Rhinolophus ferrumequinum: one gene and its partners. The protein of the gene in region 4 purifies or fractionates together with the protein of the main gene of each other region. This does not show direct contact. Links are inferred from orthologs where the notes say so. Each region holds a gene or a part of one and is shown on either strand. Other genes may lie near its edges. The genes, in order: DUSP16, OBSL1, CCDC8 and MAPK14.

Evidence for each region.
Region 1: the proteins of MAPK14 (region 4) and DUSP16 purify together in Homo sapiens (affinity purification with mass spectrometry; 7 studies listed by BioGRID and IntAct, counting the BioPlex papers as one, with this or other methods). This does not show direct contact. The link is inferred for Rhinolophus ferrumequinum from reciprocal best matches to the Homo sapiens genes MAPK14 and DUSP16.
Region 2: the proteins of MAPK14 (region 4) and OBSL1 purify together in Homo sapiens (affinity purification with mass spectrometry; 6 studies listed by BioGRID and IntAct, counting the BioPlex papers as one, with this or other methods). This does not show direct contact. The link is inferred for Rhinolophus ferrumequinum from reciprocal best matches to the Homo sapiens genes MAPK14 and OBSL1.
Region 3: the proteins of MAPK14 (region 4) and CCDC8 purify together in Homo sapiens (affinity purification with mass spectrometry; 3 studies listed by BioGRID and IntAct, counting the BioPlex papers as one, with this or other methods). This does not show direct contact. The link is inferred for Rhinolophus ferrumequinum from reciprocal best matches to the Homo sapiens genes MAPK14 and CCDC8.

Annotation. Positions count from the first base shown.
Region 1 is NC_046293.1:27,377,346-27,384,779, forward strand, and holds the start of DUSP16 (dual specificity protein phosphatase 16), read right to left. Parts: upstream 3,511-7,434; 5' UTR 2,206-3,510; intron 1-2,205. UniProt on the Homo sapiens protein: Dual specificity protein phosphatase involved in the inactivation of MAP kinases. Dephosphorylates MAPK10 bound to ARRB2.
Region 2 is NC_046291.1:15,954,554-15,962,282, forward strand, and holds the start of OBSL1 (obscurin-like protein 1), read left to right. Parts: upstream 1-4,321; 5' UTR 4,322-4,857; coding exon 4,858-5,869; intron 5,870-7,372; coding exon 7,373-7,642; intron 7,643-7,726; coding exon 7,727-7,729. Other genes in the region: INHA (inhibin alpha chain), read right to left, coding at 1,348-2,180, 3,503-3,773. UniProt on the Homo sapiens protein: Core component of the 3M complex, a complex required to regulate microtubule dynamics and genome integrity. It is unclear how the 3M complex regulates microtubules, it could act by controlling the level of a microtubule stabilizer.
Region 3 is NC_046298.1:42,670,817-42,678,697, forward strand, and holds CCDC8 (coiled-coil domain-containing protein 8), read right to left. Parts: upstream 3,513-7,881; 5' UTR 2,697-3,512; coding exon 1,455-2,696; 3' UTR 1,006-1,454; downstream 1-1,005. UniProt on the Homo sapiens protein: Core component of the 3M complex, a complex required to regulate microtubule dynamics and genome integrity. It is unclear how the 3M complex regulates microtubules, it could act by controlling the level of a microtubule stabilizer.
Region 4 is NC_046286.1:5,988,584-5,996,859, forward strand, and holds the start of MAPK14 (mitogen-activated protein kinase 14), read left to right. Parts: upstream 1-4,853; 5' UTR 4,854-5,202; coding exon 5,203-5,318; intron 5,319-8,276. UniProt on the Homo sapiens protein: Serine/threonine kinase which acts as an essential component of the MAP kinase signal transduction pathway.

The DNA of each region.
Region 1 (7,434 bases), on a different chromosome or scaffold from region 4:
CTGAAAATTTCTTTTAGATTTCTGGGCCCTTCCTCACCTTCAAGCAACGAAATGTGTTTCCCTTTCTCCAAATTCCACCCCAAATATAATCTGAGCATAACCCATGAGATAGTCTGGGTTGATAAGGTAGTCTAGTAGATTAAATATTCACCATATTTACTGTGAATTCTGAAACAATGTTAAACAGGAATATCTTCCAAACTAGTTGAAGACATAAAATGAATACACAGGAAACAGCATCTGAGTGTTATCAGATGCTAAATCAATGGTAATTGGTTCAGAAAAATGAGAAATCACTAAGTACAGAAGTAATGAGGGAAAGTTTCATGGAGGCAGGGTTTAGGATAGACCTTAAACACTGGGAAGAATTTGGATAGGCAGAGAAGAGAAATTTTGACATTGTAGAAAAGAGAAATACCATAACCAAAGACAAGAAAAGTAGATGAGGTTTTAATGGAAAGCCAAGGTGGTCTAGAGGAGGAGTGGCACAAAAATGTGCATAGCAAGAATTAGTGGGAAATGAGATCACATGGATAAGATGAATTCATTAACAAACTTAGCAAACATGATTCAGTGCTGATTAGCTGTCAAGCAATAGGGCTCTTGCACATAATAATAATAATAATAGCTTACGCCTATTACAGCTTCCAGTGTGCCAGGCATATATTAAGCCCTTTACATATAGTATCTCATTTAATTATCACTACAGACCTAGGAGGTATGCACTGTTGTATCTCTACTTTACAGATGAAAAAGATGAAGCCCAGAGAGGTTCAGGAACTTGCTCCGGGTCACATAGTTATTGAGTGGAAAAGCCTGGATGTGAACCAAGGGAGTCAGTTCAAATGTGGGTTCTGAGTACAATGCTAACCTGCCTCCACACATATTTATCTCTTTACATCTTCATAAAATTCCCATGATATAGGTATTTGTATCCCCATTTTGCAAATGGGGATGTAAGGCTCCCAGAATCAGTAAATTGTGCAAGGTTCTGCTGAGAACAAAGCTAGAATCTGAAAGCAGGTCCAGTAATTCCAAGTTCATTAAACTTCCCCTTAAAATACAGCTGCCTGGCATATGGATTTTCTAGAATGGGATCAAATTAGGGAAAACTTTAAGAGCCTAATAAGGGCAAGAAGCCTATACCATAGGAATGGGGAAGACCTTCCGGGTTTCGAACAGATGTGACTTGATTAGTGAAGGTAGGTCTAGGTCTGGCATCGGCCTGGCACAGGGAATCCAATCAGGGAAAGAGTGGACACAGCACCAGATGATATTTGAGGTGAGCATGAGGGTGGGAGGGAGGGGCGGGAACAATGACCAGTATTTGAAGGAAAATCTGATTGTTCTTGGGGACCGAATGGCTAAGGGTACTAAAAGGAGATTAAATCAAAGCAGACTTTGCTTCTCCTCCAAATGACTTAATGGACTAGTAAGGGACTCAAAGGTTATAAGAGCAGCTGGTTTGTGGCAAAAAAATGAAGGTTGCTTTTGGACATGTTGCAATCTGTTTGGCAGAACAATGACTGGCACATTCCAGAGGAAATGGGCAGCACACGGTCAGGGGTGTGGGATCGGAGCTCAGGTAGAGAGCAGAGGCTGTCAGTTCTATCTGACAAAGAAGCTCTGCAGGATCACTGAAGGGGCAGACTAGTCCCATCCCAGGGAAAATAATTTTCTCACTGTGAGAATGAGCCAGGAGTCATCAGAGAACAAAAATGCAGTGTAACAAAAGAAAGCAGGCCCAAGGGCAAGCCACAGGTCTGGACAAGTGGTTAGGGCCAAGGCAGAGATAAAAATTAAAGAGACAGAGCAGCAAGTGTGATATCACCCATATCAAAGGAGAAATGACCACTGAATAATTTCCTGTCCTGTTTCTGGTATTTTTGGATGTTCTATTGCAGAAGTCAAACCCAGCTTAACCGTTCAGACCCTACAGTCTGAACCCTACAGAATAATCAAGAATCTTGGTAGCAGGGAACACACACTCTACATCAGGATAGGGAGAGAACTGAAGTAATCAAAAAATACTTCTCCACTGAACTGTATATTTAAAAATTGTCGCAATCGTAAAACTCATGTATATTGTACCACAGTTAAAAAAAAAAAAAAAAAAAGGAAGACCTCTCCCCTGAAAATATAAGTGTCTATGAATCCCACAAAAATCTCCAAAAGCCCATCGAACTTAGCATCTCTTGGACTTACCCCTTTTGGTCCAAGATCTTGGTTTCCTTCCCAAGTTGGTGGCTGTGCTGCTGAGGTGATAAAGGTACTTGAGGAGCCGGGGATGCCAAAGCTACCTGGCTGGCATGTCCTTTCCAATCTGGAAAGAGAATGGGGTAGTCAATTGAGGCTAATGTGCAGCGGAAACTCCTCTTCTGGCCTTTCTGCTACCTCTGTCCTTTTTCCAGAACATTGAGAATGTGATCCATTGGTCATAGCCCCACCCTCTGTGACCTCTTCTGCCTGACCGAGTTAAGAATGAGACACAGAACAACTCAGCCAGTACCTGGGAGGGACTAACCTGGGGCAGGAACCTGGGAGTCCTGTGATTTCAGTTCTTGCTTATTGCTCTTCACAAACATCCTTTTAAGGTTCTAGGGTACTTCTAACTGGCTTGATGGAGATCACCTCCCAGTCTATATACAATTCCTTTCCTGCACAGTATATAATTTGTTCCTAGGACAGGGCTCCTCCATAAACCAGGGGAGTCTAAAGGGACTCCGACACTCAAAAGTAGCTGAATGGGGTTCTTCCTCATTTTACAAGTGAGGAAACGGGCCCAGGGTTGTTGAGTGACTTACCCAAGGGCATACATACACCTGGTTACTGCAGAACAAGGACACACAGGCTTTCTGATCCACTCTCTAAATCTCTTTTAGCTAGACAAAGAGATTCCAGCTGAAATATTTGGAATTCTATTTTTATTTAAGTTTTGCTTTTCCCGTGATTGGTCTCTTACTGTCTCTTTCTCAGAAGATGTTTAAAATGCCTGAAAATGCCAGCTTAGGTATCCAGAAGAGAATGGTAGCAGCACTGATGGAGGGAGGAAGCTCGCTGGTTACCCACAAAACCATCACAGACTGCCTGTTATGCTGTGGCTAAAACTTGGATCCATGCCCTCCCTCAGCCAATGTACAGCAGAGCCTAGTAAGGGGGCCCCGTGAACTAGGGCTCTCTAGTCCTTTCTGTCATTGCCCTATGTTGACCTTGATCTCTGCCTCTGAAATCCTTGATTACCAATGTCAATAGTCAGCTAGTTGACTTGGGAGGGCCCCTCCATGGCTATGGCAAGAGAGAAGAACGACAGAACAGCTCACCGTAAACATGGGTATCAGGCAAACTTCAGGAAAAACTGGTTGCTCAAGCTTGCCACCTCAAGAGAAACAGTTTTGTGTAAAGCTTGACATGGTGCGAAATAGATGTACGTAAGTTTGTTCCATTGCCACACTCATCTGGGGAGGTATCTGTGGGTCACTTCAGCACATGGGAAGATCCGCCGTCCCCAAGATCATTTAAGCTGTAAAGTCAACCAGATTAAAATGGATTGTCTGTGTTCATCAAGCCTATGTATCTTTTCTATGGTCAGGTCCTGAAAATGTAGGAATTCGGGTTTAGCGCTTTCGAGTCCTAGTCATGCACTTACAAAATCATAGGCCTAGATGGTACTTGGAAGTCATCTAATCCAGCCCCTAATATTACAGATGAGGAAACAGAAGTTTCCCGTTATTATACTTCTAGTACACCGCTGACGAGTACACTCATTTCGTTACAACCAAAATTACACTGTTGGCTCCATGGAGAGGATGGTTAACCTAAAACCCATGGCATTTTTCATACAAACCACTGCTCAGCTGCATTTTCCCCATCCCAGGTTTATACCATTCATTTCCTAAAATTTTGTTTAGGGGTTTACATTTTCCCTTTCATTCCATTTTGCTAGTTTTAACTTCATATTCCAGTCTATAATTTGAATTGTGTTTGTCTTAAGCTTTTTAAGTGTGCTGGGGAAGGGGAAGATCGTAGCTAATGTGCACTTTGCAGTGTGCTTGCTAGCGCCTATTTAATAGCTCACCTGTTCTAAATAAAACTATAAAGAGCATTTAATTTGGAATTCCCTGGCCTAGTTTTTCAGATCCTTAAGGGAGGTGGCTAACTTTTCCGCCTTGGTATATATGCAGGAGCTCTAGAATGGGCTGAAGAATATTCTCAGAGCTTGTCTCATCCGCGGAACTTGGTGCCTGGGGTAATGTGGCGAAAGGCCACCCTCTAAATTGCAGAATCGAGAGGTTTTTTTATGTCCATTTTGATGTACCATTTAATTGTTTATTTTCCTTTAGCCATGAGAGCTAGAGGACTCAAGAGATTTAAGAGAGGGGAGGAAAGAAAGGAAGGATGTCCTAATCTCTTTTGTACTCAAAAAGATACGTGCTGTATGCAAAAGGAGAACCAACTTGAGTGAATTATTTGTGATGACTTTATATATTGTAAATAGCCAGAAACCTAGGCGTTACCTCTGACTTCTTCCTCTCCTTCATCCCCCACATCTAATAATAAGAATGGCTAACATTTATCAGGCACTTACTATGTGCCAGATACTGTGCTAAGATACTTGATAAGCCTGACTAATTTAATCCTCACAAGAACTATTATGATTTTACAGATGAGAAGACTGGCACTTTTAAGAAATTAAATTCCTTGCTTGCACTCTTATATCTAGGAATGGTGGGGCCAGATTCACACCCAGGTTATTGTGACTCCAGAGCCCAAAAGCTGACCCACCATAAGTTTAGTCCCCCGGTTCTCGGGGAAAGCCGCCAGACCATGATGTAGGTCTGATCCTTACAAATCATAGAAGAAAGGAAGGAAGGGAGGAAGGGTTGGTTGGAAGGTTGGTTGAGTGAAAGAATCTTTAATTGTAGTGCAGTTCTGAGAAAGTTCAGCAAAGCTGATGAAACATCTTGGAGCTGAAGTTGCTCATCCGAGCAGTCCCACGTTTCCCAGAGGTGGGCCTGCCTTAGTATCCTTCCCACACTTCGTCATGAAGCAGACTGGGGGAGGCATGACCGTAGCAAGGAGTAGTGACGGATTTCAGAGCACAGAGACTGGGATTATCAGCTGTAATCCTTTCTGAGAGATACATTTTCATTGCTGCCACATTCTGCTCCATTATCTCTTCAAACAAATCTGCTGAGTTTTTTCTTCAACAGATGTCTCTACTTACTGCCCTAGTTCAAGCCTCTGTCATTGCTCACCTAGGCAATTCCAATAATGCTTTTACTTACTTCCCTACTTCCAGTCTCCATACCCTTAAAATGATTTCCTGCAACACCACCAGGGTGATCTTTCTAATATGTCAATCCAACTATGTCATAACCCAGTGTAAGAAGATAGGTCAGTGGAGACTTCTTTTTGTCAATCTTAGAATCTGTATGATGATCCTCGAGCATATCAATGACAAGAATCACACCAGCTTTCATTGATTAGGTTAATTTCAAAATTGCCTTATATTCTTTTTGGTGAGGTCATCATGATTTACCATATGTCATTCATCTGCTTAAAAACCCTTCAAATGTCTGTAAGATGAAACCCAAACTTTTGCTCATGGTACACCAGCACCCCCAGGACCCGGCCACTCCCTACTTCTCCAACATCATCCGTGCCACTCCGGGTATTTAATACTCCAGTGATATCTCAGTAATGAATTATTTGTAGGTCCTGCTGTGCTATATCATATCTCCATGCCTTTGTGTATACTCTTCCCTCTACCTGGAATGCTATTTTCTCTTCTCCTCCCCCTTATGTGCCTATTTGAATCCCATTCTAGGTTGCCTCAGCTGCCACCTCCTTGGGGAAGCTTTCCATGATTCATACACACCCCAATTCAAAGATCATTTAGTCTAGTCTCTAGCCCAATTCAGAAAGTCTATCGAAGGCACCCAGGCGGGAGGTCATCAAAGGAAAAGCGCATGACTTCACCAGACAACTGGTGTTAGGCTGTGCTCATGGTCACATAAACCAGTCAAAGCCATTTCTTATTGTTTTTCACGTGGAAATCTATCAGTTCCTGTTTACCCAGTTTTTCTGTGGATGGTGGTGAAAATAGCAACCATCAGAAGATTCCAGGTGAATGGAGAGTTAGAAGTTGGGAGCCTAACTAAGAAATTCCCTGGGCAGGTCCTATAGAGGCAATGCTACCTTTGAACTTTCAGATCTTGGGGGTTGGGGCAGGGAGCAGGATGGTGGTGTTCAGATGAGGAGGAGGGACAGAGCTTACCAACAGGCCATTGGTCATTTCCTTCTGGTTGTAGCTCCTGAGCTTTATGGATCTTCTTTTCTGAATCCCTGACCTGTGACTCACAGATGTTGCAAGAAAACTTCAGAATGCCTGTGGACTTCAAGAAGCGGGAGGCACGGTCAGAGGGAGGATTGAGCCTATGGGAAACCACATAAAGGTTAGACTTTTGTGACAGTGACTGTAGTTACTATGATTCCACATGTTTCCTTAGTGCTTTTTGATAAATCTGTATTTTTCCAAGACTGAAAAGTTGCATCTCTAACTAACTACATGGATGAGAGATATGTGGTAAGGAGAAAAAGATAGTGAACAAAGACTGATTCTGGAACCCTGTACTTACTGGGAGTGTGGGATCAGAAGCATGATGAACATGAGCTTTTTTTATCCATATTCTAGCACAGGCCTCGTGTTTCCAATCTTCAATAGGCACTGCCTGTTTTTGTGCATTTTAGAGGGTTCAGTATGGTAAACACTGGTGCATTCTCAAGTAGTTTTCAGCCAAAAGTTTAATTTGGGGAAGGAATACATATGAACAAATCAGAAAAAAAATAGATATGATCAATGTTGTTTACGCTACAATATTAGAAATGAAAACAATAATAAAAACCATACTGGGTATTAGGAATCACGAAATTATCTTACCAGCCATTGTTACCCTGTACAAACAGAGCATACAATTATATTTTTTATTGACAGTTGAGTATAGACCATCTGGAAATATAAACATGAGAACAGAATTATGAAAGGAAATTAGTTCCGTTGGATTTTTTAAATTTGAATTTTATTTTTTAAAGACTTTATTTTTCTAGAGTGGTTTTAAATTTACAATAAAATTGAAAGGGAGGTACAGAGGTTTCCCATATGTCCCCACCCCCACATACACACAGCCTCCCCCATGATGAACATTACTCACTAGAATGGTACTTTTTTTTCTTTTCACCAAGGATGAACCTACATTAAACATCATAATCACCTAATGTCTATACTTTACCTGAGAGTCCACTCTTGGTACTGTACTTTCTATGAGTTTGGACATATATTCATCATTATAATATCATTAGGAGTATTTTCACTGTCTGATAAAAATCTAAAGCCATTAGATTTTTTAAATGTTTTCTAAAGCTACACTAATTAAA
Region 2 (7,729 bases), on a different chromosome or scaffold from region 4:
AGGGAGAAGGAGGAGAGTGAAAAAAGGAGGAAGGAAGGCTCAGGAAGCGGGGCTCCCAATGGCCAATCAAGGCAGGCAGAATGGACTGATAGGAGACCCAACGGGAAAAGGTTCCTTGCACCCTGCCGTGCACTCCGCGTGTACACAAAGTGTGGACACAGATTCACCCAAGAGCACACTTTTTTCGCCAGTAGGCTCTGCCTTTCCATGCTTCCAACGTTAAGGACTGAGTCAAGGGGTTATCTAAAGACACACAGGGCACATCAAAGGAGCCAAAGACTTCAAGAACCCAGATTGCAGCACAACCAGGCTTCAGGAAGGGCTACATGATAGGTTTGAGGGAGTCCCAGGCCCTCAGCAAATTAAAATCCTCAGGTCTTCGTTCTTCTGTCTCATCTCTGCAGTTGTCAACTTTCAGATACTGCCAACTCACACCATCTCTCCTTTACATGCCACCCAAGTTCCTGAGACACCCAAGATCTGATCAGCTCTGAACATCTGTCTCAGTGGGACCCTAAGCCATGATCTCTGGCCGGTCTAAGAATCACCTGACCTTGAGCTAGGTATCCATCAGCTAAGGCATAGAATGGCAGGGGAGGGGCTTCTGTGTAGGCACTATAAGTACAGCAGTTGCCTTTAGGTGTAGCAGGGCAGGCACCCTGATTGACATATCAGGTCCAGCTGGCATGAGGGCCAGTTCTGTCTCCAGAGTGGCTGTCAGGAGCTAGCAGCACCTTTGCGTCACCAAGCATTGTAGCTTTCCACCAGATATGCATCCAATTCCAGCTCTTTTATTTATTTTTTATTTTTTAAAATAGTGAGTCCAGTTTGTTTTTGTCTTCTTTTGCTTTTAATTTTATTGGGGAATATTGGGGAACAGCGTGTTTCTCCAGGGCCCACCAGCTCCAAGTCGTTGTCCTTCAATCTAGTTGTGGAGGGCGCAGCCCACCAGCCCATGTGGGAATCGAACCAGCAACTCTGTTGTTCAGAGCTCGCGCTCTAACCAGTTGAGCCATCCGGCTGCCCCCTCCAGCTATATCTCAAACCCCAGATCTCTGAGGTCAAGTGAGGCTGAGTGCCCAAAGATTCCGCAGTCCCATGCTCCTGGGGCCAGGTCCTCCCCTCCACCACCCACCACCGCCATATCAGAGAAGCCGAGGACGCATGCCAAGTCATATGCACTGGGTTGTTTATTGTCACACTGCTTATGGGACAGGGGTAAGAGGGGGAGGGGAGCCCTCAGACAGACAAGTGGAAGAAGGGGGGAAATGGGAAACATCTATTTTCCAAATTCTGTTCTTCCTCCCAGCATGTGCTGGTAGGGGCTCGGCCACCAGCAGGACTCCCTTAGATGCAAGCACAGTGCTGCGTGAGAAGGTTGGGCACCGTCTCATACTTGAAAGAGTAGCCTCCATCCGAGGTGGTGCGGACACGGAGGGACCTCATGGTTCCCGGGAGAGCAGCACAGCAGGGCTGGGCCCCTGGCACCAGAGAAAGGAGCTGGACAGGGGTAGGGGGAACCCCAGGGAGCGGGAGAGGCCCGTCTGGTTGGGTGGGTGGCCCACAGCCACCGTGACAATAGTGGAAGATGAAACTGGGAGGGTGCACGATCCACTGTTCCCAGCCCAGCTCCTGGAAGGAGATGTTGAGGGCCGCCCGGTGGCAGTGGGCATGGGCAGCGGGCTCCTCTGGAGGCCTCTGCAGCAGGCGCAGCGCGGCGGGAGACCAAGGCCCGGGCAGCGGGGGAGCCGAGCGTCGGGCTCGTTCCCTTCTGCTAGGCGGCTTAGCCCGTGTGTGGGCCACCAGGAAGGGTGTGGTCTCAGGCTTGGCTGAGCAGGAACAGAGAGGACAGCGCAGCAGTAGTACCAGGACAGGTTGGGTCAGCAGAGGGAGGGCAGAGGCAGCCAGGTTTAGCACAGCCCAGCTAGGAGGTGCCTGGCCCAATGACACAGGCACCGCTATGGGACCCCCAGATGACAGAGCCAGAAGGTCTAGCAGGGGCCCAGAGCTATTGGAGGCTGCTGTGCCCTGCCTGTCCAGTCCCATGTGAAACCATAGCTGGGCGGAAGTCACCTGGCGACTGCGTGTGTGATGGGATGGCCGGAACATGTATGTGAAGAGGCCCTCCTCAGCCTCCTGGGCCAGCTCTCCCGCCGCTGGCTGGTCCTCACAGCTGGCACCTGCAGGAGACAGAGGGAAGGGAGAGGGCAGCCGTGACTGGAGAGACGCAGCTGCCATTCACGAGCCTGCCAAAACTCCACTGAGTGCTCTGCCAGACTCAGGACTCCCCCCAGTCTTGGGAGAACTGACAGAGGCTCCTCTTTTGTTATTTCATCACAAAAGGACTTAAAAAGTACAAGACATTGCCAACTTCTCTCGAGTGGTTTTACCAATTAATATACCCATCAGCAATGTGTAAGAAGCCCTGACACTCTATCTTCACCAACACTTGGAATCGTTAGTTATACTTAAATTTTTTGTTCATCTTAAAGTGTGAAAGGGCACCTTGAATGGCACGTAGGCAGGCATTTGTAGGATTACTCTTCATATCTTTTTACATGTCAGTAATAGTATATTACAAAATTTTTAAATAACTCCACTTTAATAAGATAGGTTAACACCAAAAAGGAGGAGGAGAAAAGACATAGCTGAGAATAAAGGACAGTGCTTTCTAAGAAAGTGCAGTTGGCATCCTTACCCTGACAGGTATACAAACTACACTAAACAATCATGGATCAGCACCAGGTGAAGGTCTGGCAATTGGGGCTATACTGCTACATGGATTATCTCATGGATAACTTCACAACGAGCGACCCATTTTGTAGATAAGGAAACTGAGGGTTAGAAAGGTGAAGTGACATTGAACTACGAAGTGTCCATGCCGGGATTCCACCTGATCCCAAAGCCACACTTACTTACTGTGCAGCAGGGGGACTGAAGCACAGGGAGGCAGGGGTCCTCTCTAAGAGAAAGGTGGGCCAGATTACAAGAAAGTCCAGCCAGAGGAGGCCTTTTCTCATTGAGTCAGTGGAACATGGGGAGGTGAGAAAGGAACTCAAGAGAAGGTAGACTAGTTTCCCAGAAAAGTTTCCCAACAAATCTCTCTCCTGCATCTCTGTTATTTCTCAAGTCTCAGCTACTTGGGGCTAAAGAAAGGACCAGAACAGGGAGCAGGGGCAGAAATAGGAGGAAAGTGGCAGGAAGAGACCACGCCCAGATATCGCTGACTCCAGAGACCCTTAGCCTCCCAGGAGAATATCTCCCAGCTACCTCATATGAGCCATGCACTCTAAGTGCAGCATCTCCCGAAATCCTGAGCGATAGACATTATTGCCCATTTTATAGATGAGGAAACAGCGGCTCAGGTAGGTTCAGTCATTGGCCCATTGTTGCAAAGCCAGTTGAATAGCAGGTCTGGGATTCAAACCCAGATCTGCCTGCCTTCCAAGCCCATGCTGTCCCACACTGCTTCTCAAAGTCACCAGTTCCCCATCCTCATTACCTGTGGCCGGGAAAAGGATGGCCTGGGAGACATCCTCCTCCTCGGGCTCAGAGCCCCTGCGCATGGAGCCCCCCACAGCATGTCTTCGGGGCAAACGCCTGACTCCAAGATCTCTACTTTCACGAGTCACTGCTGGGGACCCCAAGGCATCCAGGAACAGGGCCCTCACTTTTGCCAAGACAAGTTCCCGGTCCACCTCCGGCCCATGGCAGCTATGCCCCCGCTGTGGGGCCACCAGCAAGAGGAGTAGCAGTGGCAGCCGGGGCAACATAGCTCACCTGCCCCTGACAATGGCGAACCCACAGCCTGCCCTGTGCCCCTCTGTCAGGGTCTGCCCGGGACCTCCCCCACTCTCCCTTCCCCATCCCACCACCTGCCTTCTTCTACCCTTCTCATCCCAGTCTTCCCCAGGCCTTCCCACACCCTGCAGTCCAAGTTGCCCCTGCCGTGGCATTGAGGCCTCCTATCTCTGACGCAGATGTCTGTGACCCTGAGCCTTATCTCCCACTCCCGCCAGGAATGTGGGGGAGGGGGCTGGTGAGGGTTTTTCACCCCAAGTGACCTCTCACATACAACCCCTTCCCCCTACACACACACACACACACACACACACACACACACACAGTCACATCCCAGCACCCAGCACAGAAGTGACATCAGGTGGAACAGGAGGCTGGGAGCTGTGGCCTGCCAGCTCTTAAAAGTGTTATTTGCTAAGGTGACAAAACACACCAGCCCCTCAGACCTTCTGGGGCCCCTTTCAGACAAACAGCTGCTGGGCCAGTCATGGGGGGAAGGGCTGAGGCTGGAGCTAGAACTGGGGTTAGTGCGGGGGGCAGGTGGTCCCGCCTGCTCTAAACTTAGCCTGGAGGAGCCAGTCTGGGCTCTTGTCTTCCAGCTGTGTCATCAGAGAATATTTTTGGGATTGGCAGCTGCAGGCGCCTCTGCCACTCAGGCCCTAGCCTGGCGGGAGGTTGGGGACCTGGCGGCTGGAGGTGGTAGGGAGGAGGGGAAAGAGGCCCAGGCTGTGGGAGGGGGCTGGGAAGAGAGGCTTTCAGGAGCAGGAAGCCAGGCCGCGGGCAGAGGAGGCCGCGGGGCCCCTCGCTGTAAAGGCAAACAGGAAGGACTGCCCCCTGAGCTCTGGGCTCCGGGCCCAGGAATCGCCGCCGCCGCCGCAGAGCTGCCCCTCCGGGTCGACGGTAAGGAGGCGACCCGGGAGCGGGCAGCCAGAGGGAGAGCTCCCCGGATCCCCAGGCCGGGTCCCCAGACGCGCCCCGCCTCCCGGGCTCCAGGCCTCCGCGCGCCCGCCGCCCGCCCTTCCCCGGCGCAGCTGCGGGTCGTTTGCGGCCGCCGCGATGAAGGCGGGATCGGGCGATCAGGGGAGCCCCCCGTGCTTCCTGCGCTTCCCGCGGCCCGTGCGGGTGGTAAGTGGCGCGGAAGCTGAGCTCAAGTGCGTCGTCCTGGGGGAACCACCGCCCATTGTCGTGTGGGAGAAGGGCGGGCAGCAGCTGGCGGCCTCGGAGCGCCTCAGCTTCCCGGCCGACGGCGCCGAGCACTGCCTGCTGCTGAGCGTCGCGCTGCCCACCGACGCGGGGGTCTACGTGTGCCGCGCCCGCAACGCGGCGGGGGAGGCCTACGCTGCGGCCGCCGTCACCGTGCTGGAGCCGCCGGCCCCCGAGCCGGAGCCCCAGCCCGCCGAGCGCCCGCTGCCGCCGCCCGGGACTGGGGAGGGCGCCCCGGTGTTCCTCTCGGGGCCCCGGTCGCAGTGGGTGTTGCGGGGAGCGGAGGTGATGCTGACGTGCCAGGTGGGGGGCCTCCCCGTGCCCACGCTGTACTGGGAGAAGGATGGGATGGCGCTGGACGAAGTGTGGGACAGCAGCCACTTCGCGCTGGAGCCGGGCCGCGCCGAGGACGGCAGGGGCGCGAGCCTGGCTCTACGCATCCTGGCGGCGCGGCTGCCCGACTCTGGCGTCTACGTGTGCCACGCCCGCAATGCCCACGGCCACGCGCAGGCGGGCGCGCTGCTCCAGGTGCAGCAGCCTCCCGAGAGCCCGCCCCCGGACCCCGATGAGGCCCCCAAGCCTGTGGTGGAGCCGGTCAAGTGCGCGCCCAAGACCTTTTGGGTGAACGAGGGCAAGCACGCCAAGTTCCGCTGCTACGTGATGGGCAAGCCGGAGCCTGAGATCGAATGGCACTGGGAGGGCCGCCCTCTGCTCCCCGACCGCCGCCGTCTGATGTACCGCGACCGCGACGGCGGCTTCGTGCTTAAGGTGCTCTACTGCCAGGCCAAGGACCGCGGGCTCTACGTGTGCGCCGCGCGCAACTCGGCGGGCCAGACGCTCAGCGCTGTGCAGCTGCACGTCAAAGGTACGGCGGCACCTCCTCCCAAGCCCTCCTAACTCCAGCCCCCTTCGGTGCCCAGTGCTGCCCTAAAGACGTTTTGGGGAGGGGAAGCGGAGTACCAAAATCCCATTTCCTGCCTGCCTCCCGCCCCCAGGGATTCGGATTTAGTAAGTCTCCACGGTACCCAGGAGCTTCTTAGCAAACTCCCCAAGTGATTCTGAGGCTCATGGTGGAAACCTCCCTTTGATTAAAGGCTTTAAGAAGTGATTGATGGACAAACCGAGAAGAGCCTAGAACTCTTCTAGTCCAGTGGTTTTCAACCTTTGTTATTTTACTTCCCCTCCCCCAATAGAAATCCCATCTGTGCCCCCAATATATAAGAAAGAGAAAAGGATCATTTTATGGCAGTAAATTTCTAAGTCCAGATTTATAACGTGTACTTAGAAAGCCAATCAATGAGAACAAGGAGGCTGTTTTATTGAATATACACATTTTAAGTGAAGGCTGCGTTCATCACCTGGTCTGTGGGAAGGCCTGGCTGCAAGTAGTCACATTGAGAAACTCTTGATTCATAGTAAAGGTAAATTTGAGGGATAAAAACTGCTCTGTGAATTTTGACTATTCTTCCATTAGGCTGCTCTCCCCAGCTTTGCAAGAAGAAGGTGAAGGAGAAGAAATTTATATTTCAAAGTTGAGTCACCTCAACAATATCTAATAAATGCTCATAAACAGAAAACAGGGGAGAGCACCCCAAACTCATCCTGGAGGATAAAGCTCTCCATAATAGGAATTCATCACAACCTGCAGGATTATATCTTTCGTAGTTATTGCCCAACGTTTTCCCGCAGAGGAAAAAAAGTTGGCAGCTCTCCTGAGCCCTGCCTGGCAAGCATTCAAGCATGTGGCACCTGTGCCATGGTGGTGGCCTCATGGGTATGGTGACATGCATACACTGGCCAGGCAGGCTGAACTCTTAACTCCATCAAGAGGGGAAAAAAGCCCAGTGGCAAGGCAGACCTTCCCGGAGCTGCACAACAAACGCACTTCTCAGCAGCCCAGGTGAACCTACTGGTCGTTTCCAGCATCATGCTTTTTTTTTTTTTTTTTTTTTTTTTTTCAAAAAATAAATGCTTAAAGTACTTTAAAGAGAAAATGCAACTCAGAACCTTGCAGAATTTGTGCAGTGCCTCTGAGGGACCACAGGGAGCATTTTGAAAATCACTGATGTGGTCCAAGGCCTTTCTACCCCTTTCCCCATTTTACAGGTATGGAAACTGAGGCCCAAGATCACTAAAATGGCCTTGCTGGAGGTGATGTGGCTAGTGAGTGTCAGGGTCAGATGAGAATTTAGACCATCTGATGTTCCTTTCTGGTGGTTTTTGTTTTTCTATGATTCCACAATGTCTTCGTGCGCCAGGAGAAAAGCAAACGGCCTGAGCTAATGTGGGTGTAGGCAGTTGATGCTAGGAGGAGTCTTCCTAGTCTGGCCCTCTCCAGAGCCTTCTCTGGTCTCTCCCCTCTCCACAGAGCCCCGCCTCCGCTTCTCGAGGCCTCTGCAGGATGTGGAGGGCCGGGAACATGGGATTGCCGTGCTAGAGTGCAAAGTACCCAACTCCCGCATTCCCACTGCCTGGTTCCGTGAGGACCAACGGTTGCTGCCCTGCCGCAAGTACGAGCAGATCGAGGAGGGCACCGTCAGGCGCCTTATTATCCATAGGCTAAAGGCGGATGACGACGGCGTCTACCTGTGCGAAATGCGTGGCCGGGTGCGCACTGTGGCCAACGTAACAGTCAAAGGTCGGCGGGCCAGCGGGAGGAGGCCCAGGCTGAGGCAGGCACATGCCCTGACCCCAGGCTAATGGACTCCCGTCCACATCTCAGGGC
Region 3 (7,881 bases), on a different chromosome or scaffold from region 4:
CACGTCAGGCCCCAAAGTCCATCTCTCCAGGTGGGGTCCACAACTTGTCTTTTTTCCAAATTTCACTGGGGACTCTTTCTTGCCCAGATATGAGCTGTGAACTACTGTGTTTCCCCAAAAATAAGACCAAGCCAGACAATCAGCTCTAATGAGTCTTTTGAAGCAAAAATTAACATAAGACCAGTCTTATATAAGACCCGGTCTCATATGATATATAATACCGGGTCTTATGTGTTAATTTTTGCTCCAAAAGATTCATTAGAGCTGATTGTCTGGCTATGTCTTACTTTTGGGGAAACACGGTACACCTAGTTCAAAGGGGCTATTAGCATCACAGCAAGCCTCACCAGCAGTGACCACTTCAGGAGACGGAGGGTGGAGAGGGCTGATCGTTCTTAAGTTCCAAGGGAAAAAAAAACTAAGAAACTCAGGCCAGGTTGCAGCCAATCAGGACAGAGCTGACCTTCAGAGCCCCTCCTCCACAATTCCCTTTTCTCCGGCCTCCAGTGAGGTTGGGGTGTGGTCGTTTGCTATCTGTTTTGTCACTGGTGGGGGTGGGGTGGGGACACAAACAATGCGGAGATGTTCTCCAGCTCCCACAGGGCCTTAGCAACCCGATTTCTCCCCGATTGTAAGAACCAGTCACAACCCACTCCACATTACTACACCACAATCCCCCTTTTGGCCTGTTCCTATTGCAATGATTTTTCACTGTGTCCAGTGGCCAAGCTGCCCCTGATGGTGGGGCACAGCCAGTGCTACTCACAGCTCTGGCATGAAGGGTCCCAGACTCTGCATTTAGACACATTTTCCAGATGATTCTTTTGTCCCTTGTAAAACGTATGAAGTGTATAAACTGCAGGCCCTGGACCCTCGGACCTGGCAGAACCCAAGGGTGTGGGGATGGCAAGCAAACTGACATAAACACAGGTCATGGAGGGGACACAAGGACGTGACAGAATCACCCTGGAGCATTCTTCCGCTGCCAAGTCCAAAGCCAAGAAATAAGTTTGTAAACATTTTTATTTGCATGTTGGCTTGTGCCCTCTTTGTAAATTCAAGGAGGCAGTCAATGTGAAGTGTGCAGGAGAAAGGGAGATGAGAAAGGGGAAGAGAGGCATTTCTCCCTGCCCTCGCTCCCTTTTTCAAGCTGAGCACCTGGAGTTGCTTTTGAGGAAATTAACACAACCCCATTGTACAGATTTCCTTCTTTACATTCCTTGGGTTACTAGAAAGACTTTTAAAAATCAATGCATGACAGATAAAATTTTAACATGAAAAGGGGTGCTAGGTAGACAGGTGAGGGGCACTGCCTGGCCTTCACTCGACCTCCCATTTCAGGTGTGGAGGCAGAAAGATCATCTCCGTCCAAGGGCAGGAGAGGGAGGGATGCGTCCTGAGTGGCCAATAAGTTAGTGGGTGGCGGCGGGTGCTCTGGCTTCCCTGCCAGCACCTCACAGCAGGTCCTCTTGTTCGCCCTGCTCTGCTTCTGCTCTGGCCTCGGCCCTCAGCACCCTGAGGCTCCTGGCTTCGGCTGCCCTGGGGACTCTCTTGGGCAGGGTTGGCACCCGGGGAGTGTGCCAAAAGGCTCTCCGGCGCTTGCGAAACCACGAGAAGCGCCCAGGGGTCTGGAACCTCACTGTCTTCACCTGTTTTCGGGCCCTAACTCCTGGGGTGGCTCCTGTGGCCCCCGAGGCAGCTAAGGCTTCAGCTTCCTGGACAGCCGGGGCCTCTGCCCTCTCATTATGTGCAGCCTCTGCCCCCGGGTCAGCTATGGCCTCTGCCCTCTGGTCATCTGCAGCCTCTTCTCTCTGATTACCTGCAGCCTCTGTCCCCTGAACTGCAGATGCTGCTTCCACCGTCCTGTGCCTCCTAAATGAGGCCCAGTTGATCTTGGGCCTCCATCGTCTTGGAGGGGCCTCAGGCTCTGGCCCATCTCCTGCATTCCCCATATTATCCCCCCAGCTGGCACTTCCTGGCACCCCATCTCTCTCCACCCTGGTAGAGGCCTGCTGGGCCTCGCCTACTCCTGGGCTGGACCTCGGGGTCCAACCCTTCACCCTCTGCTTCAGCTTCCCCCAGGAAACCTGGCTAACATACTCTCGCCACCTGTCCGCCTTAGATGGCTGGGGCCCCGGGTTGTCCTCAAACATGGGGACCGGCAGGTTCACGCGGCGGCGGGCCGGCGGCGCACTGGGTTTCTTCTCCCCACGGCGAAGAAAGGCCTCCACCAGTTCCTCGTCATCCTCGCTCTCCAGGTCGCTCCCCAGGAATTTGCTGCCCAGGTAACTTACGGGCATTTTGCGTACCTTCCTGCCACGCCCTGAGCCTTTGTGGCCCTTGTTACTCTTCTCTCTGGAGGTCTCGAAGTCGCTGAACTCGCTATCGCTGGCGTTGCTGCTGTCATAAGTGCCCACAACCAGCCGGGGAGGAGGGGTCACCATCTGCTGGACTCTCCTCCTCACTCGGGGCTCCTTGGGTTTTTTGGGGGGCTGGGGCGGGTGAGGGGTGCTCTTCTCAATGATGCGGGCCACGTCCTCCAGGGTGCGGCCTTCTTCCTCCAAAAATTGGGTCAGCCGCTCCCGAAATTCCGCCTCCTTGGTGGCAGGCTTGGAGATGACCCTCCAGACGCCCCCAGCCAGCCTGACCTCCCGGGGGATGAGCAAATAGTCTACGTCCTCCCCAATCTGCAGCATCCCCACCGTGGAGTCCTCCTCCCTGCGGAACACCTTGCCGATCTTCTTAAAGGTTCCCACAGGCTTCAAGGCTTCCACGAGGACGTCCAAATCCACATCTTTGCAGACGTCGGGGACGCTCCAGAGGATCAGGCAGTCGGGCGACGGGAGGAAGCCCCAGGGGAACCAGCCCCCCACGTGGCTTTTCTCGAGGGTCTTTAAGATCTCCAGGGTGAAATCTGGGGTGGGAGCAACAAGCCCAAACTACACGAAGCCCCTAGTCTTGGGGGTCGAAGTGGAGGTGGGAGGTCCCAGCAGCACTGCCCGGAGAGTCTCACCTCCCCAGCCGAAGATGAGCCAACACCTCCCAATTTCTCTGCTTGCAACAAGTCCTCTCTGGATCAAGGCAGAGTCCCCTCTTAAGGACTGGTGGAAATCAATTGCCAGGATGCTTACGTGAGCCGGGGTGAGGTCAGTCCTGAGGCTCAAAGCCCACAGCAAGCTCCAAAAGTGGTGTCCCAGCTCCAAGTTGGGGCGCACGGGCTGACCCGGGCTCTTCCTGCCCCAGGCACGAGGGACGCGCCTGGAACTTGGGAGAGGACTTCGCAGACAAAGACAGCTCAGCCGCGGCTATTCAATATGGCCGAGGCGCTAGGAGGAGCAGCCCAGCCCCTCCGGAGGGTCTCCCGCCCCTCGGCAGGCTGCCACCCCCGTCCAGGCTGACCTTGACGCGCCTCCCGCCTCCCTGCCCGCGCGCGCGCTGCTGTGGAGCTCCAGGGAGGGAAGTTCCTTCTCGTCCTCCCCCAGGGTGAGGCCCACCTTTCCCCTTCTCATTTTACACTCCCAGACTCGAGAAGACTGACAGCGGGGCTGTCCACTCCTTTTGGGTCGCCCTCACTCCCCTCCCTCACGGGGGTGTGGCCGCGCCCCGGGCCTGGCTGGGGCCACCGCCTCCAAGCTGAAAGCGCGCCGAGGCCCACGTCAGCACCTTCTCCGAATAAGGCAGCAATTCCCAAACCTACCATCCTAAATGTGCGGGTTCCAGCCACGCCCAGAGGTGGGTGTGCTAATGGGGCCGTCCTTTGGAAAGCCACTGACACCGTATAGTACCATTCTAAATTTATGTGACTTCTGGTACCAGCAATTCCTCCCTATATACCCATAAATAGGGGTGGGAAAAGTGGTACCAGGATCTTAATTCACCAGCTGTACCAGTGGGGCTTGGCACACAGTAGGTGCTCAACAAATATTTTTGAGTGAAGTGAATGAATGAACCTAATTGTTCGGCAGGGACTGACTTAATTTTATGGTCTATTCTTACAGTGAAACACTGAGCAGCTATGAAAAAAGGATAGTTAACTTTTATAGAGCACTTCCTATGTGCGTAGGCACCACTGTAAGTGCTTTCTATGAATCAACTCATGAAATCTTCACCATAACATTATGAGACAGGTAATACAATCATTCCCATTTTGTAGCTGAGAAAATAAAAGTCACACAGCAAGGAAATGATTGAATCTGGATTTGAATCTGAAACAGCCTGACCTGGTGTGTGTGTGTGTGTGTGTGTGTGTGTGTGTGTGTGTGTGTGTATACATGTACTCAGCACATGTACAAGCTCTGCCAACCGTAGCTGTTTCTGAGGAGGGGGACTGGGGACTCCAACATGTGGCAGAGATGTGTCCTTTTCACTGTATATCCTTTTGGATTGCATGGCTTTTTGGCAATCCAAAATGTTAATTAAAACAAATGAAATTAAACCAAAGGGCCTCAAACTCGGCCACAGACATAGTGGTTTCCTGGGATTCAGGGGCCAGGATTTGCAAAGCTCCCCAGGTACTACTGAGGCAGCCATGTCAGCACCAATATGCACAATAATAACAATGGCATTAGTAATAATAATTGTTAACTTGCACAAAAGGTTTCCTTGGAACCAGGTACCCTGAATAGCCTGTTGTTATGAATGCTCAAAAGCTATAGGGTAAGGTGCATGCCTTCACTATCATCTTCTTACAAATGGGGACACTGAGTCTGGTCTGAAGTTGCACAGCTGTAAGTAGAGGGGCTGATATTTGAACTTAGGCACTGGAGTAACCATCCAGGCAGGCTCGGAAGACACAGCTGATCTTTATCGCTTGCCTGGATCCACAAAAAACACCTCTTCACTGGGCGGCCTGCTTTCCCTTTGCAGCCTGCAATCCATCCCCAACTGGCAGCTGGAGGGATCTTTTAAAAACGTAAGTCAGATCTATCTGTACTCTTTCTAAAATCCTTACCTAGGAGTAAAATCTAAGTCCTCACCTCAGCCCACGAAGCCCTATCAGTTCTCCCCACGTCCCTCTCTCTATTCCACTCCAACCACACCTGCTGCTTTTTCACTGTTCCTCCAACAATGTTTGCCCCCAACCTCAGGGCCTTTGCACTTGCTGTTCCCTCCACCCAGAATGCTCTGCTCCCACCTTCTCTGGCAATCTCCCTCTGCTCAAATGGCACGTTTTTTAGAGAAGTGATTCTGTCTCCCCCCTCCCCAACCCTCTCCAGGGCCCTATAGCTTAGGAATCCTTAACCATGCCATGGTCCCTTTCCAGCATAAAGTGTTTCAAAGCATAGATTTGCATCCATTGGATTACAAAGGAAACCAATTATAATGAAATACAGCTGTCAAAAGAAAAATTCCAACAGTCAAAAAAAAAAAGTAAAGAAGCCTGTAAAATAATGACTTTAATACAAAGTATAAAAATTGTTAAGACAGGGGACACTAAATCTTCTATTTTTGAGATTTGGACCTCCGGTGTAATTCAAATTAATAAGGGCAATTTAGCTTGAGAAGTTTTGAAAGCTTTCTTTTCTTTGCCTCTTAACGATTCTCTTTTGTTTCTATTTACTTCGGCCCAGTGCAGGCCCTGTGACTTGGGAAGTTTTTCATCTGTATGGGATCCACTCTTCTGGCTCCAACTTAAATCTACATAACGTATGGAAAGGTTGCCATAACCAACTTTACAGCACCTTCCCCCACCCCCAATTACAGACCGAAACAATTTACAGCCTGGTTAGTAAATACAAAACTTGAGACCAAACAAGGACTCAATGCAGTAGTTTGCAGTAGTTTCCAGCTGACGCGACCCTCCTCTTACTTTAATAAATCTATATTTCTATCTGACTTGTGAATTCTTTCACCGCCCGCGAGCGAGGAGATACAACAAAAATGAATACGTGTAATTTTATTTAACTCAAGATATGTGGTTTTATTTAACTCCTGAAGGAACCAGGCAGATGTTTAGAAAAAGAGGAAAGGGGGCGATTAAAGGAAGGGAAGGGAAAGAGGAAGGAAGACGCTTGGGGAATGGAGGGAGGTCAGGGTCTTAGCGAGGCCTTTGCACAATTGTTGGCTCACTCGGTTGGCTTTGCTTTGCTGGATTTTCTGCTCCTCCTCGCCAGCCCCATCCGAGGCCTCTGCCCAAGCCGGGCCTCGCGCCACCCAGCTCCTCCCTTTTGCTCCGTTTCTCGCCCAGCCTCCCAGCGGTCTCCATGGCAACGAGGAGACGCGTTCCAAAGCGCGGGTTGGCTCTGAGAGGGTAGAGTGGGGCGGGCCGGGGAGGGGGGGAAGGGGTGGGGGCAGGGCAGCGCCTCTTTCCCGCTTCTTATCCCTTCCTTAAGTCTGATGCCCCAAGTCACCTTCTCTTAGAATGTGCTTCGTAGAGGCCCAAAGCTGAAAATCCCAAATCTGAGAAGTCAAAATAATGACCTCGAAGTTGAGACATTTGGGCTGTTTCTGTCTTTGGTTGGAAGGAAGGGAGGGTTATCCTAGAAATGAAAACCTCATATGTTCAACATTCTTACAGAAATTGCCAACCTCTGAGCAATTCACTGTGGGTGTTTTAACTTGCCCAGGTCTCTGGCAGGCAAGATCCTTCTCCAGCCACCCCCCTCCCCCCCCACACACACAAAAGGATAATTATAGCTTCCACTTTTATATTTATTTAAAAGAAATGAAAAATCAGAAAATAGGGGGAGAAAACAAAATATGGCCCAAATCTCTCTACCCAGTTTCACTTGGTTGCCGTTAAAAATAACAATAGTAATATTAAAAGTGACACACACACACATGCTAAGAAAATGCTGGAGTTACAGAGAGGTGTAAAATGAAAAGCAACCCAGCCCCAGCCCCAAGCCTCCAGCCTCTCCCCCAAAGTGATCGCAGTTAAATATCTCTGTACTTTTCCAGGGGGAAAAAAATGCTTACTTTAGCGTATGTGTAATTTTAGAATTTACCCCATGGGGGGTTTTTCACATCATCCTAAATTGTTTTCATCACAGCGCGTACCACTGCCTGGTATTTTCTTATTTATTTATTGTCTCACCCTATTAGAACATTAGTCCCATAAAGGCAGAGATAGTTACCTGGTTTGTTCACTACTGAATTCTCAGTATCTAGAACAGTCCTAACAGGTGCTCAAAATATTTGATGAATGAATGAATGATGCTAGATCTATTACTATAAAACTTGCTTTTTTTGCACTTAATAGCATGTCTTGAAGTCTTTCATATCAGTATATGCATATCCATCTCAGTTTTCCATCACATATGCCCACAAGGTGGGAAAGTGATAATACTGATTATTATTCTGTTTTATTGAGCACCCACTTTGTCCCTGGCCCTGTGTGTTTTCTCTTTTAATCCTCAGAACCTCTCCTATGCAAGTGTTATTCCCATTTTCCAGATGAGAAAAACTGAAGCCAAAGAAGGCCATACAGCTAGGAAGTGGCAGAGCTGAGCTCTGACTCACTCAGGTTCCTTAGATTCCAACCGCCACACTCTTTTTTTTTTTAATTTGTCGGGGTGATATTGGTCAACCCCGACGCTCTTAAGCCTCCATTATTTGCCCAGTTGCCTGGCAGATTTGAGGTGGGGAATAAGATTGGTGAGAAATCCCGAAAGACTTCTCTCCCAGATGACACTTGTAACCTTGGCACAGTCACCAGATTTGTCCTCCATCTTGAACGTCCGGAAATCAGGTCCCTGTCTACGATAAACAGGATATAATTTATCCACACCTGTGAACCAGATACCAAAGGGTTAAATGATAGCACATAGTAGGTCCTCAACAAATACAGCAGGAAGCAGCAATGACACCCTCTTTATCCTGTGCCCTGATGCCAGGGCTCAAGTTAGGTAATATCCCCTGAGGGGCATTACTTTAATGTGT
Region 4 (8,276 bases):
ATTTAAAGTGTTTGAGCAGATGTAGTAATATGGACAGAGACACGCTTTGGGAAGAAGTTGTCTCATTGGTATGGTCTAGAGCTGTGCTGTCCAGTATGGTAACCACTGGCTACTTGTGGCTATTTAAATTTAATTAACTAAAATAAAACCTTCAGTTCCTCAGTCACACTAGCTACATTACAAGTGTTCAACAGCCACAGGTGGCAGGGGCCACCCGACAGGACAGCACAGACATAAAACATTGCCATCATCACATTAAGTTCTATTAAACAGTGCTTGGAGATAGAAGAAGCGGAGGTAAGAAGACCTATTGGAGACCATCACCTGTACAGTGGTCTTGGGGAGAGGTACTCAGTCACAACTCATGGGGCGGTAGTGAGAATGGCTAGGAGGGGCAGGTGGAAAGCTGTCTTTACGGGGCTCCTCACAGGCCTGGCTTATGGCAGCAAGGGAAAATACATGATTTCCTTATAGTCTTCTCTGGAATTCCTCCAGCTCCATTATGTCTTTCTCGATTTCATAGAAAACCTAGTGGTTTGTTTTTTCATGCACTTAGCAGGACCCTTCCCCACAAGGTACGATGACCAGAAGCTCCTACTGACAAGTGGCAGATGTATTTGGTGGGGAGAAGGCGATGCATTTCAGAAAAAAGTCAAACCACATTGATGGGATAATGACTTTTTAGCGGAGAAAACACAAGAGGGAGTCTCTCTGACTGACTCGTGAGGCATTAGTGCGAGGAGACCTCTGTGCGCAGTGTGATCAACAACAGGCTAAACTCTACTCATAATCTTGAAGATAAATGTCCACTTAGAAAAAAATGCTCTGATGCTTTCTGCCATCGGACAAAATATTTAGGTGGGTGGACCGTGGGTCTGAATTACTTAAGGTTTCATTTTCTAATGCGATAAATGTGACATCATTTTGGGGGTATCTGGATTCACTACTAATAGAAATTAGTTTGATTTCTGTAGCTCACACTCCATCCCCACACAAATAGCATCAGCATCATCCGGGAACTAAATTAGAAATGCAAATTCTCAGGCCCCACCTAGAAAGTCCTAATTAATTAGAAACTTTGAGGATGGGCCAGCAGTCTGGTTTAAGAAGCCCTCCTGGTGATTCTGATACACAATAAAGTAGGAGAACCATTATAAATGTAGCCAATTATTTTTACTTAGCTTTTCAATGCTAAATTTGGAGGCACTGTCAAAAGACAGGCATTTTTGAACTAGCTTCTTCATACCCCAAACTACCCCTATCTATCCAGCCATCCATTGATTCGTTTACATAATGTGTTGAAAGTATTTTAAAAGTCAAGAATAAAAAATGTAAATGCAACCCAGTTTTCTGACTATTGACCCAATAGATGTGAAATCCTGAACCTCAGTTTAGTTGCAAGAATCTTTCCCCTGGTATCGTCATCTTTCATACATTCTCTATAATCATCGGAAGGTAAAATTCACTTCCAAAATTTCAAAATAAGCATTGGAATCCCATCAGAAACAGTTCGTTGCCTGTTACCATCTACGTTTTTCTGGGGAGTGTATTTGGAATATAGAAGAGGCACAAGCAGAGCACTGCTTTTAGTATACTTCAGTCACTCTGTTTAGTGGCTGGGGCTGGATAACAAGGTGACAGCCCTCAAGGAGCTGACCATTAGACACATAAACAACTACTTCATTGCGACGTGATGAGAGTATTACAAGTAGAGTGTGTTGGACAGAACTCATTATTTGGGTGGGCATGTTGGAGAGGGCTTCACCGGTGTCACTGATACATAAACAGGATTTGATAAGAGAAAGGGGCCAAGTAGGGGGAGGGTGAAAGTCGGGGTTCAGAGGGAACAAAACGAACAAAAGCAGTGAGGTCTGAAAGTATGAGGCGTGTCTGGGCAATCGAGCCTCAGGAGCTGGATGGGGTAGTCCGGTGGGGCTCGGGCAGCCGGCCGCGGTCCAGTTCTGGGGCTTCTGACAACTCGGACCAACGAGTCTGAAACGATTCAGCTTGCAAAACACACACAACTGTATCTTGCCATTGCCATTTCACGCGTCCTTTCAAAAAGTAGAGACAGTACCTCTGAGAGAGAAGCTCCCAGGGACGATCTTCATTCTTTCATTCCACAAATATTGCCTGAGCACCCGCGACGTGCCTGGCCCTGTCCGTGACGGACGCAGCCCCCCGCCCGAGGACTTGGAAATGTAACCAGGGGCTGGTCCCTCGCACCCGGCCGCCTCGCCGCTCCCAACCTGCAGCCCTGGCACCCGGGCATCCCCGGGCAGTGGCTCACCTGGTTCCTCGGCGGGGGCGGGAGTGCGGGAGCCGGAGCCCCACGCAGCTCCGGCTCGGCTGGCGGCGCTGCAGACGCGGACGCCGGCGGTTCCCGAGCCGTTGCGGCCGAATCCGCTGGCGTTCCGGCGGGCGGGGGACAAGAGTGGGGGCGAGGAAGGGGAGCATGGGCAGCGGGGGTGGGGAGCTGGAAGAGGGGTACCTGAGTTGAGCTCCCGGTATTTGGGCCGTGGAAGCTCCTAACCTGTGCCACCCAGGCCTCCACTGGCGTCCAGGTTTGACTACTTTTGATTGAGAGCCGACCTAATGCCACGCCTCGCGCGCAGCATTTCACATACAGTAATTCACTGAAGTCTCCCCACAACCATATCAGGTCAGAAGAGGCGTGAGGGAACTGGAAGCTAGAGGGTCACCCAGTTCTCCAACCCTAACACTTGGTCCCACAAGCGTGGCTCCTCCCACTGACACTCTCATGCCCAGGTCTCCTGCTCCGCTCTCTCTCCCACTGTTTCTCACTACAGCCTTCTTTTCCTGATCCGCCCACGTGCAGTTTTACACTTACAGGATTGCTGTATTAATGTCTAACATATTATTCACTTTACCTATTCCATTTTGTAAATTGTCTCATCCCTTTATAGGACAGGGTTTTTGTTTGTTTGTTTGTTTGTTTTTTAATCTCTTTCATTAACTGCTGAATCATCAGTGCCTAAAACAGTGTGGTAGATATAGTAAGTGTTCATGAAGTTTGCGTTGAATGATTGAACGATTGCCCCGCAGTTAATTGTAAGCTCCATGTAGGCAGCAATTGTGTCTATTTTTTAATCACTCTTCCATTAGAAGTGCCTGGCATCAATACATATTTATTGCATAAGTGACTGAATGTATTACTCACTTCATCTTTACCTTTTTGGTCACTCTTACCTCATCATCCCAATTTGTTAGATAAACTTATGAATTTCTTAGGGTTCCTACTTCCAAATTTCCTCCCTTGGATCCATTCACTCATCTTCTTGATTCCCATTCCACCCCTCTTTTTTTTTCACAGTCACAGTTTTGCTCTCACTTTCTCCTTCAACCTCCATTACTTCTTTGAAAGCTCCCTAACCTGTGGTCAGCTTGGAATATTTTCAAGCAGCATGTCTTCGTAGGAAAGAGAATCCAGGCTAAGCCACATTGAATCCAAAAAAGCTTTACATAAATCACCCTTGAATCTGGTTTGGGTTTTGTTTTTTTTTATGTCCTTGAGGAGAACTGAGGATCCTGCACCACCTCCTAAATTGTTCATCATTTGTTCAACAAATATTTATGGGGTATCTTTTATGTTCCAGGCACTGTGTTAGATGCTGGGACAAGACAGGCAAAGTCTGAGCACTCCAAAGGATGCACAACACAAAAGAGAATAGTCACGGGAAGTGAAGAACATTGTCCTGGCTTGGACCTAGTTATTTCTAAGCAAAATAACTATGAGAATAAGATAGGGTCCAACTCTTCTGCTTATTGTAACAAGCTTCAGCATATGGATAGGGTTATACTAACTTGCCCAATCACATTTATTATCTTGGTCAGCTTGATAAATGACCCTACTAGGTGGGAAGGTAAGACAGGAATTCTCTTTTGCAGAACTAAGGTCTAAGAAAGGCCCACTGACTTGCCTAAGAAGACACTGTCAGAAGACTACTCTGCCCTTTTCTTACTCTGAGAGGCATGAATTAAATCCTCAAAATCTTCTTCAGTGGAAGCTCTTCATGTCAGGAGTCAATTTCAAACCCTCAACGTAGTGGTTTTAAAAATGCTTTTCTAAGGGAAAAGCATCAGAGACTTCCCTGAATCAGAAATGCCTGAGGCATATTGTAAAATTGCACATTCTTGGTGCCCATCACAGACTAATCCAATCAGACTCCTTGTGTGTCCTGGGAATCTGCATTTTTAAACTCCCAATGTGATTCTTTTGCACATAAAAGTTTGAGAACTACTAGGAGAGTTTGGGTGCAAAATCTCAGCCTTAATGAAGGGCTAATATTTGCTTTTGGGACAGATTTCATCAAAATTCTGAAGAGTAAGCCATATGTCCTTGAGCAGATGGGAATGTTACGGCTTTTTGGCCAGAATCTCTCTCTCTCTCTCTTTTTAAATGCAGTTATTTCTTGGAAATTTGGGATTCCGCTGAGCAGGTGCTCTACTGCTGGTAACTAACCACTGTTCAAAGATCTTTTGGCTCTTTTCCCCGACACCCTATCTGTCACTGTCGCTTTTCACCACGAAGCCAGGCAGTTGCTCCGCCGACCACAGTGGGGCGCACGCAGCATGTGTTGCCTGCTTATTCTCTCTTTCCCCGGTCCGCCTTCGCGCCCTTAATAAGAACATACCCCGAGAGTTCCTGCCTCTGGTCTCCAGCTGTTGCTCTCTTCTCGCGAGAATTGCTACTCCCGTCCTCTCCCCTCCTCAAGCCCCTCCCGTGGGTAGGTTCCATATTGGGTAAAATCTCGGCTCGCGTAGAGTCTCGGGAGCTGTTCTCGCGAGAGTACGGCGGGAGGCTCCTGTTCGCTGGCTCTGGAACGGCGACCACTGAAACCTCAGCGGGCACAGCTGCTGTAGCCCTAGTCCCGTGGCGTAGCCCAGAGTCGGCCTGGTCCGGAGAGGGTGCAGGGAGAGCGTGGCCGGCGCAGCCCTGAGCGCCGGAGCGCGCCCCTGCTCTTAGCAGGGCTTGCCCTCGTCGTGCAGGCGCGTCCAGCCGCTGCAGCTGACAGGGGCAGCGCGCGCGGGAGTCGGCGGGGTCGCGGCAGCCGCACCTGCGCGTGCGGCCAGTGCGGGATCCCAGCCCCACCCGGCGGGCAACGAGGGCCAGGGAGCGGGTGCGGGTGCAGGCGGGGCCCGCGGAGGGCCACCTCCTCGCCCCGCGGCCGCTGCTGGAAGATGTCTCAGGAAAGGCCCACGTTTTACCGGCAGGAACTGAACAAGACTATCTGGGAGGTGCCTGAGCGTTATCAGAACCTGTCCCCGGTGGGCTCCGGCGCCTATGGCTCCGTGTGGTGAGTGTCACTGGGCTTGGGGCTGTGGTGGCTGGCTGGCCCTGCATGCCCCAGAGCCAGGCCTGCCCCCACGGCTCAGCGATGCACCAAGCGGCAGGAATTTTCCTTGGGGGAGGGCATCGCTGCCCCTTCAACCCCTGTCCAGCACTCCCTGTGCCCCTTGCACCCCTCACCCTGCACACACCTAGGTAGGTGGTCAGCTGTGTGCAGGACGCAGGTCCACGGTGGGCGGTGGGTCGTGCTGGAGCTCAGCCCTGGCTCGCACCCTGCACATTCCTTTCTTGGGGGTTGCTGCTCCGGGGGAGGCTTTTTCTGGGGGTCTCCCTGCTGGCGTCGAGCGGGAGGACCCTCTCCGGAGGTGCGCCCATCATGGGCTCCGGAGCCTGCCCTCTGAGCAGACAAACCCGGGGAGCTGCCCCGAGAAGCAGAAGAGCAAAGCCCGACCGGGAGACGGCGGTAAACCGAACAAAACTGGCGGCGAAGGGCGTTCTGTCCTGGTTTCTTTGCAAACCTCTGTCGAAATCCCATTTTGAGAAGCGTTCTTTTTGAATTCGCACTTCAATTAGCAGCGACCCATAGAGCTTAAAATACCGACTTTATCTCGGTGAGCACTGTGCCAACTCGAGTGGTGTGTTTCCGATTCGGTTGAAAGCGTATTTCCTTTTCGCAGAGTGGGGGGTGGGTGGTAGTGCTGGCAAGAACGCTGCAGCTTGAGAAACTGGCGGCCTCGCTGATTAGTCACATACCACTGCTCATTTAAGTATTGTTTGACAAAACTATTTTCTCATTTGGTGCAAGTAAGATTCAGATCCGTTGGACGCCCTCAAGATCAAAAAGTTAGGAACAATGGTGGGAGGTATTGTAAATGTTTTTTTAATTGCGATAATTCTTGTGAATAGTACTGTGTTTTTAAAGTCCCTGAGAGAGTTTGCAGGGAACTTATCTACATTTATAGCCTGAGGACACAGTGGTTTTCGTAAGGATAGGGAATATATAAAAAAGGAAGGAAGAGACACTTTTCAGCTTTAATTCGCACTGTGAGTGTGTTTTGCATTAAATTCATACCTTAAAATTTCCGGACCTGAAGTAATTACACTAATTTCTCTAACTTCCAAGGTTTTTTCACTGTATTTTAGATTTAATGTAATTTGAGAGCTCCTGATCTGAAACTGATTCATGTAAATTCATACCCATACATCATTGGAAAGGGGTCTATATACAATTACTTTTTGTTTTGGAACAAATTCCAGGCTTTTGAACATATTAGTCTTTAAATAGAATTCCCCTGTTTCTTAAAGTCACACTCACATCATGAATTTCCTGTTCAGTAGAATCTTCTGGGTAATTGAGATTGTGCAATTGTGTCTCACAGTAGATCATATTGCATTTTCTAGTTCAAGCTGCTTGAATTATGTTGCTAAGGCACGATGCTTGACATCTTTTCCACATTTTTATAGTACAGCAGTCTACATTTTAAGGGAATTTGCAGCATTTTACTATGTGTGTGTATGTGTGTGTGTGTTATTGATTTGCTAATTTTCAAAGATGTATTTGGTCATTGCTCCTTTCATAGCTCATTAGTTTATTTTTAATTCTTGAATTGATACATTAATTTTTGTAGTACCAAGGTTTTGTTTCTAGTGTTTAAATTTGAATGGAATGAGTGATACAGCAGAGAATAGCTCAACTGTGGTGAGTTGAGCAAACTTGAAAGGAACTATTTGCAAGGTTTCCCTACTGTTGGTGTGGGTAGCTCTGCACTGGAATTGAAGATGCAGATTTACAGTGGAGTGCCATTCAAGTGAACTCCACATTTCTTTAGTGCTAGTATACTTTCTGGCTTATAGAAGCCAGGAATTTCTGACACTTGGAATAATTTTGTTACACAGGTTTTTAAAAATAGTTGATACATTACACTGTATAAAATTCAGAGGGTATAAAAGGATATTCAGTGAAAAGTCTTTTCTTCTGTTCTCCAGCCATGCTATTCCTTTCCTCAGAGACAGCCACTGTTAAGTTTGTTTTGTGTCTTTCCAAGAGGCAGAGTTGTTTTTTAGTAGTATTTCTGTAAAAGGGATTTAAGGTGTAACCTATAACATTGGTGGAAGAAAATACAACTGATGTTTTGTGACAGTTGACTAAACCAATATAGTGGATTTTTTGATTGAAAATATCAGAATTTAGATTTACAAGTAAGTGTTATAATCAGGCATTCTTTCAATTAGCAACTTTTCAGGTGTGTCAGAAAACACTTTTTTTGAACTTCTCTTAGAATCCATTTTGGAGCCTGTGTTATTTTTCACAACCTTCATCCTTGGAGCGCAGATTTGATTTTAGCGAATAACAAAGAAAATCAAATTGAATCCAGATAATTGAGAGAATTTGGACTAAAGTGTGGTGAAAAAGATTAAGCAGTCAGCTTGGTGATACTGTTTTATGTCAAATAGGAGTCTCAACTATAAAGTATGACGCAGAATTTCTTGTGTGACTTGTAGAACTGGATCTGAAGTCTGTTCCCAAAAAGAATCTCGGGAAGTATTTTAAGACATGCAACATAACTGAAATATGTGTCAGTTTTTTAATTTGATTGCTCTGAAGTGCAATGCACTTCGAAGTGTAACTTAAAATTATTTTTAATTAAGGCTATTTTCATCATTTTAAAAATTTTTGCTAAGTTTATAGTAAAAAAGCAAATAGTATGTAGCCTTTGTGATAACCAATCATGAATGAAAGATCAAGGAATCAGACTAGAAATTTGAGAATTGATAGGGTTTTACAAATACACTTTTTTTTTTTTAAGAGGTAAAGGGAACTAAACTAAGTCTTGCAGTTTTAAGGAACTTTGTACATTGTCTTTGAGGGGAAATGAAGCAAAGTTGTTTAAGAATATGTTGTTGCAAAGCATTGATTTTGTGGTTTGGGGACAGAAGGGGGTGGGAATCTTTGTGGTGAGTTTAA